Linked DNA regions of Cricetulus griseus. The protein of the gene in region 1 purifies or fractionates together with the protein of each later gene. This does not show direct contact. Links are inferred from orthologs where the notes say so. Each region holds a gene or a part of one and is shown in the gene's direction. Other genes may lie near its edges.

Region 1 (5,197 bases):
AACAAAGGCTGCACCAGAAGTCACTCTGGCAGGCAGTAAACCTGCTTAGTCAGCCACCACATGCATACACAGCATACCCAGAGTTCCCCCTATCTGCCTCTGGCCCCAGCCTTGATGGGCCAAGGAGCCAGTGAATGTCCACAGACAAGAGCTGAACAGTAGTCTGTAATACCTTCTCCTGTTTTATAAATCTATAATTCATGGCAAAGGACACCATTGTATTTCTAGCTTCTTGTTTTACAATGGAAAACAGGCCTCAAGGAACTGTGATCTGGCCAAAGCCTTACAGTAGATTGATAAAGGCAGATGTAGATCCTGAGTCACTTGTGTCCCATCTGAGTCACTTGTGTCCCATCCCTTGGTCTTTTTGGCAGACTTCAGGCCCACCCTCTCATTAACGTTCTGGGGTCACTGTCCATCTCCAGCTATAAATGGGTGTAGTTTTTGATGTGAGGACATAGAGTGGTGCTGGAAGCTAGGGTGAGATTCCTGTGTAAGGCATGAGCATGGGGGATGATGAGGAATAGTGACCCCCAGGGCCTCAGTTTCCCATCTGTACAGTTGTAAGGAGGTGCACCCCGTCAGTTCTCATATATTGTGTAAGATCTGTCCCTCAGCTTTCCAGACCTGTGACCTCCGAGACCTGTGATCCACAGGTAGGAAAGAGACCTCTTCAGACACCACACCTCCGAAGCCCAAGAAGGCTAAGAAAAGCACCTGGACCTCAGCAACACCCACACAGGCTCTGCAGAACAGCATCACCCAGTGCCTCCGGGAACAGTCCTGGTCCCTGAGCGAGGCGCAGGTGCAGGCCTCTGTGGTGAAGGTTCTGGCAGAACTGCTGGAGCAGGAAAGGCAGAAGGCCACAGAGGCCATCAAGGAGAGTGGGAAGAAGGGCAAGAAGCGGAAGCTGTCGGGGGACCAGCTAGCAGCAGGGGCCCCAGAGAGCAAGAAGAAGGCCTCTGGGACTTCCAAGACAAAATCAAAGCTAGACGAAGTAAATGCTGATGGCAAGGGGAAGGGATCATCTGGCTCCCAAGGGGCCAAGGCGAAGCCCGAAAGTGAGCTGGGGTTAAAAGTTGAGAGTGGACAGCAGAATGACACAAAGAACAAGAAGGAAAAGAAGAAATCCAGTAAAAGTAAGTGACTACTCCCCCATCATACACTGCGGATGCAGGGCTGGGTGGCAGGCCTCTTTATCTCAATCTTTCCACAAAGAACAAGAGCCTGGGAAGTGATTTGTCTAGAGCAACAGGCATCTGGTGGCAAAGCCAAAAGTAGATTGCGGGGCACTTGGGCTGCATCCCCTCCTCCCCATAGCCCAGGAGACCCTCGCAGTGCCCAGCATTTACACCCACGGTCAGCTTTTAGAAAGCATAAGCTCAACTCCAGCTTCACAAGGATGGAAAACAGGGAGCACTCCACTCCAACCTACCTCACACCAGAGGTCCACTGTGGGTTCCTGAGGTATGGAATGTGCATGCATCCTTATCTGGAACCCATCTTTTCCTCTGGAATTCAGCTCCTCCTCAGTGAAAGCAGCATTTACTGTTCTCCATGCTGGAACCTGCACCCAGGTGCCTTTGGAGTTGCCCTGCCAGCCCAAGGCAGTGGGGACTTTGGTTTTCATTTTCTAAATGGAAAACAGGCTCTGAGAAAGAAAGGCCACTTTTGCTGGGCAGTCCACTTTTGCTTTGTTTTGAGACAGGGTCTCACTATGTAGCCTAGCCAGCCTGAAGCTTAGTATGTAGAGCAGGCTGGCCTCGAACTCACAGAAATCCACCTTCCTCTGCCTCTTGGGTGCTGAGATTAAAAGGATGCACCACCACGCCCAGCATGGAAATTCTCTTTTGTGCATTGTCTGCCCATCTGTGGCAAGAGTCTGGGAGAAGAGGTATCTGGCCATCTGGTGTCGGGAACCCATGGGGTTAAATAAGTGTGGGGTAGGGCTTCTTTTAGACTAAGTAATCTTTTATTTAGCATTCACCAACATTTATTAATGCAAAATTCAAGTTCCGAATGATGCAGTCTTTTTTACACAGTAATTTAAACAGACTTGGCATCTGAGAAACCCATTTGGGCCAGTCCTCCAGAAGCAGACTAGAGGGATACAGAGATCAGGTGAGAACAGGAGAGGACACAGCAGCAGGAGCATGGCGGGAGCATTCTGACATTAGGGAAGGCAGCTGTTCTCATCCTGGAGCTGGGCCTCAGCCTCTGCCTGCTTCCATTGCTATCTAATGAGGGAACAGGTAAGCAGGCAGGAGGGTTGCTCTGACACCTGCAGCAGCCACACGAGCCCATCTGCACATCCAGGGACATGGGGGAGGGGTTCTTAAAGTTAGTTCCAGACTGGACATATATCTCAGTGGTAAAGAACTTGGCATGGCTAGTATTGAGGCCCTAGATTGTGTAGTCCATGGACAGGAAGAATGGAGCGAGAAGGATAACCTGGTCCCACCAGGGCTGGCTTCCCAGTGGCATAGTAGCTCGGAGCTGCTGTGGGCCTCCTGACACCGACCCACTCAGTATCAGAGCTCATTTTCTTCCCTCAGAAAAAAAAAGCAAGGACAAAAAGGGAAAGAAGAAAGGAAAGAAGACGTCAGCCAAAGACCCTGACTCACAGATCAAGAAGAAGAAGAAAAAGGTAGATTGAGTTCCTGGGAGCTCTTGGGCCAGAAATTCGAACCCTTCCCCTTCCAACACCCAGACTCAAGTTATAATGGACCTTGTGAGGAAGAGTGGGCAAGGGGTGATACAGCCAGCTCCCAGGTGAGAAGGGATTTGAGGAAATGCCTGGCCCACATGTCCTGACCAGTGGGGGTGCTCACTGAAGAGACAGCCATCCATTTCATGAGGTCAAAGGCTGTTTGGTCCAGGCGTGGTAGCACGGGAAAGCCTAGCAGTGGAAGCTACAGGGGTGTGGCTCTGAAGACACCCATGAGGTATCACCCCTGCCTTGCCCTGTGAGGTGGGGCAGCAGTGGTGAGGACCCGCTGCACTAAGAGTGGTGTTGCCCTTCTCTCCTCACAGAAGAAGACAGCAGAGCCTGCCGTGTGAGGGCCAACACATAGAACAGGTAAGAGAGGGAGCCAGAGAGACAACAACTCCCTTCCCCAGGGTCAGTGGGACTGAGGGGCACTGCTAGCAAGTACATCAGCCACATGCCACATCTTGAGCGAGGCTGGTGGCCAAGCAACATCCCTTAGCTTTGTTCTCCTTGTGGAGATAAAGTTCAGGATATGTGACCAAAGCCTGGTTTGTTTCCTTCTAGAGTCTTGTCAGAGTGTGGCTGTCCCCAGACCTCTGACCTTTGGCCAGTGTGAGTTGGGACTGGACTTTTTAACTTACCCTCCCTCAACAGAAGATGATGGCTGACTCCAGCATGTGCTGCTGGCCTAGCCAGTGAGCCTGCAAGGAGGAGGCAGTCCCAAGAGGAAGTGGGATGAAACACACCCACTCCCTCTGAGTGCTGCATAAGATGTGTACAGTATATATATATATTTTTTAAGTGACCTGCCTCTCCCCCTTCAAATCCACCATGCCCAAAGGCCTCAGGACCTTCCTCCCTCTGCTCTGTAGACCCAGCGAGGTCCCACTTAGAGTTCATCCCATTCCCTGGATCCCTGGCTTATCCCAAGGCCTTGTCCTATCAGTTTTCCAGCTGTGTTTTTTTTTTAAGAACTTAAAATAAAAGACTTTAAATGTAAAGGTTTGAGTTTCCCTGTGCATGTGGACCTGCATTGTTACTGACTAGGAAAGGTAGTGTGGGAACCCTGGAGGAGCACAGGAGCATGTCAAGGCCCTACGGTACTGTGAGGAGGACAGTTTGCTAAAGAAAGGCCTCGGCAAAGCGCCTCAGGGAGGGCTCCCTGAAGGAGGTGGCCTCTGAGTTTGAGGAGAGCTGAAGGTGGGTCAGATGCCATGGTAGAGAGTGCAGGTGACCAAAGAGCCTTTGGAAGCTTTGGAGTTGGGATGGTGTGGAGCGAGGTGGCTGCCATGGGAAGGGTGGAAGGGCCAGTAAATGAGGCCGAGAATTGCCCTCTAGCCAGGGAATAGTTCTTTGGTGGTGAAGGCAAGAAGTGAACAAAGTCCATGTGTGTGTTGGGACTGTTGCTGGGGTAGACCAAGGGAGGAGGATGGCAATGCTCCTCTGGCTTCCTCTGCATAAGCATTCAAAGGCCACCTCAGCCTGGAGTCCTGTGAAACACCAGAAGTCTAAGCATTTCACCTCAGGCTCCTGCTGGAGGTCCCTGGAGACCCTGTGCACAGAGCCTTGGGACACCACTGACGTGAACAGCCATTCCCTTCATTACAAGTGTGTTGGTCTCCATCAGACTGCAGAGGAGGGTCTCATTGGTGTGCTGACTCAGAAGTATTTAAATGTAAAACCGGAACGATGTCACTCATGTTCATTTCAGACTCCTGGGCTTATCAGGGATCTGTTTCCTTTTCCAGCAGCAATGGATTGGAGCTAAGTAGCCCTGAGTCCTGCACAGGTGGCCAGCTGGTGGCAGCCCCCATTTGCATCCATTCCTGACACTAGGCCCCTGTGTCCATTGCCATCTGTCATCACACTTTCTTAGTACAGAAATGGAATTGGGGACATGAGAAATGGAAGCTGGGACATGATGAGCTGTGCTTTTTAAACTGGGCAAGAGTCTGTGTCTTTCTGAATGTTGAACAGGTACTAAGTATCCACGGCCCACCTCCCCAGGCTCCATAGACCCTGGCTACCTAGATGACTAGGTTTAAGGTTTTCATTGACTTTCCTAGGGTAAACAAATTGGATCTCAACAGAAGAGCCAGGAGCAAGAATGTTCTACTCACTACCTTTTATTGTCACATGAGCCATGATCCTACAGGCTGCTGACAAGCTTGGCTGAGCAAGGGACCTGGGGGGTTGGCAGGAGATGAGGAAGGGTTGTTGGAAGGAGGGCCTGGGTTCTTCCTTGAGGAGAAGACGGCAGATGTGTCCAATATAGGTCAAGTAGAGCACCCCTCCTTATCCCTGTCTGTGGGCCTACATCATAGAGCCCCACATTGGAGACTGCTAAAGGGTAGAAATGGGGGTCTACCTAGCATTGCCCACTCTGAGCTTTATGTCCCTTGAGATGGGGGTGGGCAGCAGGGCCCTCCAGCATCCTCATTCTGTTCTGGTTTTGTCGTGTCGGGGGATGATGAAGCAGACACCAGC
Region 2 (4,204 bases), on another chromosome or scaffold:
CACAATGCAATTGGAACACTGCTAGGACCAGAACAGTCACCCAATAAATGTTAGCCAGTATCCTCTTTGTCACATGGATGCTACTGTGTTGGGACACCTCAATGTACAAGATCCCAGGGGTCACAGCTGTCAGCCTTTGTGAAATCACAAGTAAAATATAAACAAGATGGGAAAGGAACAGGGAGGAGGGAGTGTTATTGTGCTGGCGGTTAAAGTCGAGGCCGAGTCTTCAATCTGACGGAGATGATGTCTGAGTTAGGCCTTGACCGACAAATGCATTTTTTTTAAGATTCTGAGGTCAGAGATGGGGATGTTGGAGGTTCATGAAATAAGCAGATGTGGGCAGTGCCTTCAGTAGAAACTGAGGGGTAAAGTCAAGGCACTGCTCCAGGTGTCCTCGAAGCTAGAGGTCATTTGAAAAGTGGCTAGTTTAACTGAGGGTGGTGGTTCACGCCTTTCATCTCACCATCAGGGATGCAGAGGCAGGTGGATCTCAGAGTTGGGGCCAACCTGGTCTACATATCAAGTTCCAGGCCAGCCAGGGTTACATAGTTAAATCCCGGTCTCAAAAGAAAAGTGTGTTAGGTCTGACCCAGACATTGGATAGCCATCTAGTTCCCATCTTCTTCTGGGGACGGTGCCCTCGGGAGAGTCTAGATGGTTCCTGGAGCAACCAGTGGCCATTACTGTAGAGGTGGATCAAATCAAAGGAGCAAGTGTTTGCCCTGACAGTTGGCTTCAAGGGGCTGCCATGTGGAAAATACTGGGACTTTGTTAAAAAAAAAAAAAAGTGGGAAGGGTAGACCAGGGATCCAGGGTGAATTCCACTTCTTGGGCTAGGGAGGGATAAGTCCTGGTGTGGTGGTCCCTGCTGAGTCTAAGGGAGGCAGTGGGGTCTCCCTTTCTGTTTTGTTAGGGTCTTCAAGAAGTCGAGCCCTAACTGCAAGGTGAGTCACCCACAGTGCTTATGCTTCGATCCTTCCTGGGCCCTATCAAAGCCCAACCTACCCCCAGCTGATCCCCAACCCTTAGCTCCCCACTTCCTGTGACAGCTAAAAGCAGACTTCCTTCCCTCCTTAAGCCCCTTGCCACAGTCTGAAGAAGCCACAGGGCTGGGTGGGGACCAGGCTAGGTTCCTAAGCAAGCTTGTAATTCTCTTAGGAACCAACCCAGGGTACTTGGGACTAGGAAAAGTTAATAGTTCCCCAGGCTGTGGCCTGTTTATTGCAGAGCCCTTTGTGGGGAGAGCTGCTAACTGCCTGGTCTGACTGAGTGCTCCCTGAAGACATGGGAACACACACATATACACACATACACCTCTGTCCTTGCTTGGTGGACAGCGGTATGAAAAGTGACCAGAGGAGCAGACAAAAGCCTAAATGAAAGCTTTACTGAATAGTCTGGAAAGCCCTACCACTCTCACCTTCCAATAACACTGGGAGAAACTCCTTCCTGATAACCCAGCCAAGGGGAGCCCAGGACAGGGCCGCCATCTTTGAGGGCTCTGGTGGCTTGCCACCATCCTCCCCAATTTTGCCTGTGACCCTTGACATCCTCAGCTCACCGTGTACTTGGGCAAGCGCGACTTTGTAGACCACCTGGACAAAGTGGATCCTGTGGGTGAGTTTGCCTAGAAGGGGGTAGCTCATCCCCCCAGGAGGGAGGAGGTTCCTGGTTCTGGGGATGGGGAAAGGCCGCCTTCAGAAAATGAATCCACGTCTCCCTTTCCTAGATGGCGTGGTGCTCGTGGATCCTGACTACTTGAAGGACCGCAAAGGTACTAGACCCAAGTCCAGGAGCTGGAGGGGAGGCAGGAAGAAGAAGGAATTCGATGGGTTGGCATTGGTAGGGTGTCCCAGACAGATGGAAGGCTGAGGCAGAAGCAGGGGGTAGGATTCAGGGAAGTCTGTCGTGCTGAGGAAGGATGTGGGCGACATGAAGGATGTCTCTTGATCATCCCACCTTGCCCTCGCTTTCCAGTGTTTGTTACCCTCACCTGCGCCTTCCGCTATGGCCGAGAAGACCTGGATGTACTGGGCCTGTCTTTCCGCAAAGATCTGTTCATTGCCACCTACCAAGCCTTTCCCCCCATGCCCAACCCACCCCGGCCCCCCACCCGGCTACAGGACCGACTGCTGAAGAAGTTGGGCCAGCATGCCCATCCCTTTTTTTTCACAGTGAGGATGCTCCCTTTTCTCCGAGGAGTGGGGGGGGGGGGGGCTGCAGGATTGACATGGGATGAGGCACCTGTTACCAGGGACTGAAACCCCTCCTTTTCTCTGCCACAGTTACCCCAGAATTTGCCTTGCTCTGTCACACTGCAGCCAGGACCAGAGGACACAGGGAAGGTAAGGGAGGGACAGCTATCACAGTGTGTGAACAGAACTGGGCTCAGCAGAAGCACAAAACACAACTGAACCAGAGGGTGAAGTTTAGGGGGGTCCTGAAGACAAGGAGGTGTCCCCATGGACATGGGTGTGCATGGTGTGGTCACTGCATCTGGAACATGTACCTGGGTATGGGGGTTCCTCCATGCACTGCCATGAGCCAGCCTCTGTAAGGTGCCAGACTAGGAGACAGTGGGGCAAGAGAGTCCGTGTTTCCGAGATGGGGCAAAAGTTCACACTTAAGGGGAATGAAGCAAGTAGGAAGGAAGGGGTGTGTTGGAAGTGGCAACAGGAGCCTTGGGTAAGAGGTGGCCTTTCCTCCCCCTTCCAAGGCCTGTGGAGTCGACTTTGAGATTCGTGCCTTCTGTGCCAAATCTCTAGAAGAAAAAAGCCACAAAAGGTGAGAGAAACTTTGTCTCTGGTTTAACAACTCCCTCCCAGCCTTATGGAGCCCCTGGCGCCTGTTGGGGGTAGGAATCTTAGTTGAATTGTAGTGTCTTGGAACTAACCCTTCCCCTGCTCCACCCCCTGACTCAGGAACTCGGTGCGACTTATCATCAGAAAGGTACAGTTTGCTCCAGAGATACCTGGCCCCCAGCCCTCAGCAGAAACCACACGCCACTTCCTCATGTCTGACCGGAGGTCCCTGCACCTAGAGGCTTCCCTGGACAAAGAGGTGAGGTGTAAAAGAGTGACAGAGATGCCACAAAGCAGGCCAGAGCCTGGGGGAGGGGTGAAGCGACAGGCAGGATGGTGGTTTGGGATTTTTTTTTTAAAGGTGGTTGCCTCACTTGGGTGGAGGTGCTATGGACTGGGGTTGGAGGTGGGGCAGAGCAGCCTCTATCAGAGAGGTACCCAAGTTGGAGCCACTGAAGCAAGTGCAAACTGTGTCATCCCCTCCCTTCAAAAGCTGTATTACCACGGGGAGCCACTCAATGTCAACGTCCATGTCACCAACAACTCGGCCAAGACCGTCAAGAAGATTAGAGTCTCTGGTAGGAGGTGGGGGTGGACATGGGTGTGGGGAAGGAAGTCCCTGATTACAAGGGGCTTCTGCTGCCATTTCAGCCCAGGCCATATCCCAGTGTGGGAGAACTACCAGGGCATAAAGAATTTAGTCTGTTCCCAGATGATGCCCAGCCCTAGTGTTTATTATAGGAGGGCTGTTGGCCAGGGGTAGGAGGTGGGGGTGTGCTGCCCCCAAGTGGGGTTCACACCATGTGGTCTGGAGTTGTGGTACAGTAGTAGTCTATACTTCACCCAAAGCCACTTGGTCCCCTACCCCACAGTGAGACAGTATGCCGACATTTGCCTCTTCAGCACCGCGCAGTACAAGTGTCCTGTGGCTCAGCTTGAGCAAGAGTGAGTATGGGACAACCGTGGGACCCAACTTAGGGGAGAATATGAGAATGCAGAGTTCCTTATAACCTATCTCACTTCTAAGGGTGTCCCTCTGCAGCCTGGGGGCTCCAGGCTGTTAGCAGATTGCATCAGAACCTACCCCCTCGTAATCTGCCCTGATGGACAGAGAAGGAGGAAGTACCGCCTGAGGGTGGTATGATGAATCTCCCTCAGTCCAGTCTCTCCAAGAATCTTGTTCCCTTGTTCCCAACCCCCAGTGACCAGGTATCTCCCAGTTCCACGTTCTGCAAGGTGTACACCATAACCCCACTGCTCAGTGACAACCGGGAGAAGCGTGGCCTTGCCCTGGACGGGCAGCTCAAGCATGAAGACACCAACCTGGCTTCTAGCACCATGTGAGGGCGGGGCTGGTGGACTGGGGGACAGGGGACAGGCTTCCGTTCAGTGCAGTGCAG

Evidence for each region. The genes of interacting proteins can lie anywhere in the genome.
Region 2: the proteins of Tcof1 (region 1) and beta-arrestin-2 purify together in Homo sapiens (affinity purification with western blotting; 4 studies listed by BioGRID and IntAct, with this or other methods). This does not show direct contact. The link is inferred for Cricetulus griseus from reciprocal best matches to the Homo sapiens genes TCOF1 and ARRB2.

The regions. Positions count from the first base shown.
Region 1 is NC_048595.1:178,280,319-178,285,515, forward strand, and holds the end of Tcof1 (treacle protein), read left to right. Parts: intron 1-617; coding exon of another isoform or gene 618-649; exon of another isoform or gene 650-656; coding exon 657-1,138; coding exon of another isoform or gene 1,139-1,139; exon of another isoform or gene 1,140-1,143; intron 1,144-2,555; coding exon 2,556-2,647; intron 2,648-3,033; coding exon 3,034-3,079; intron 3,080-3,274; coding exon 3,275-3,310; 3' UTR 3,311-3,711; downstream 3,712-5,197.
Region 2 is NC_048600.1:84,233,898-84,238,101, forward strand, and holds part of beta-arrestin-2, read left to right. Parts: intron 1-916; coding exon 917-947; intron 948-1,559; coding exon 1,560-1,620; intron 1,621-1,732; coding exon 1,733-1,777; intron 1,778-1,980; coding exon 1,981-2,177; intron 2,178-2,288; coding exon 2,289-2,348; intron 2,349-2,719; coding exon 2,720-2,787; intron 2,788-2,924; coding exon 2,925-3,063; intron 3,064-3,297; coding exon 3,298-3,382; intron 3,383-3,676; coding exon 3,677-3,749; intron 3,750-4,006; coding exon 4,007-4,144; intron 4,145-4,204. UniProt on the Homo sapiens protein: Functions in regulating agonist-mediated G-protein coupled receptor (GPCR) signaling by mediating both receptor desensitization and resensitization processes.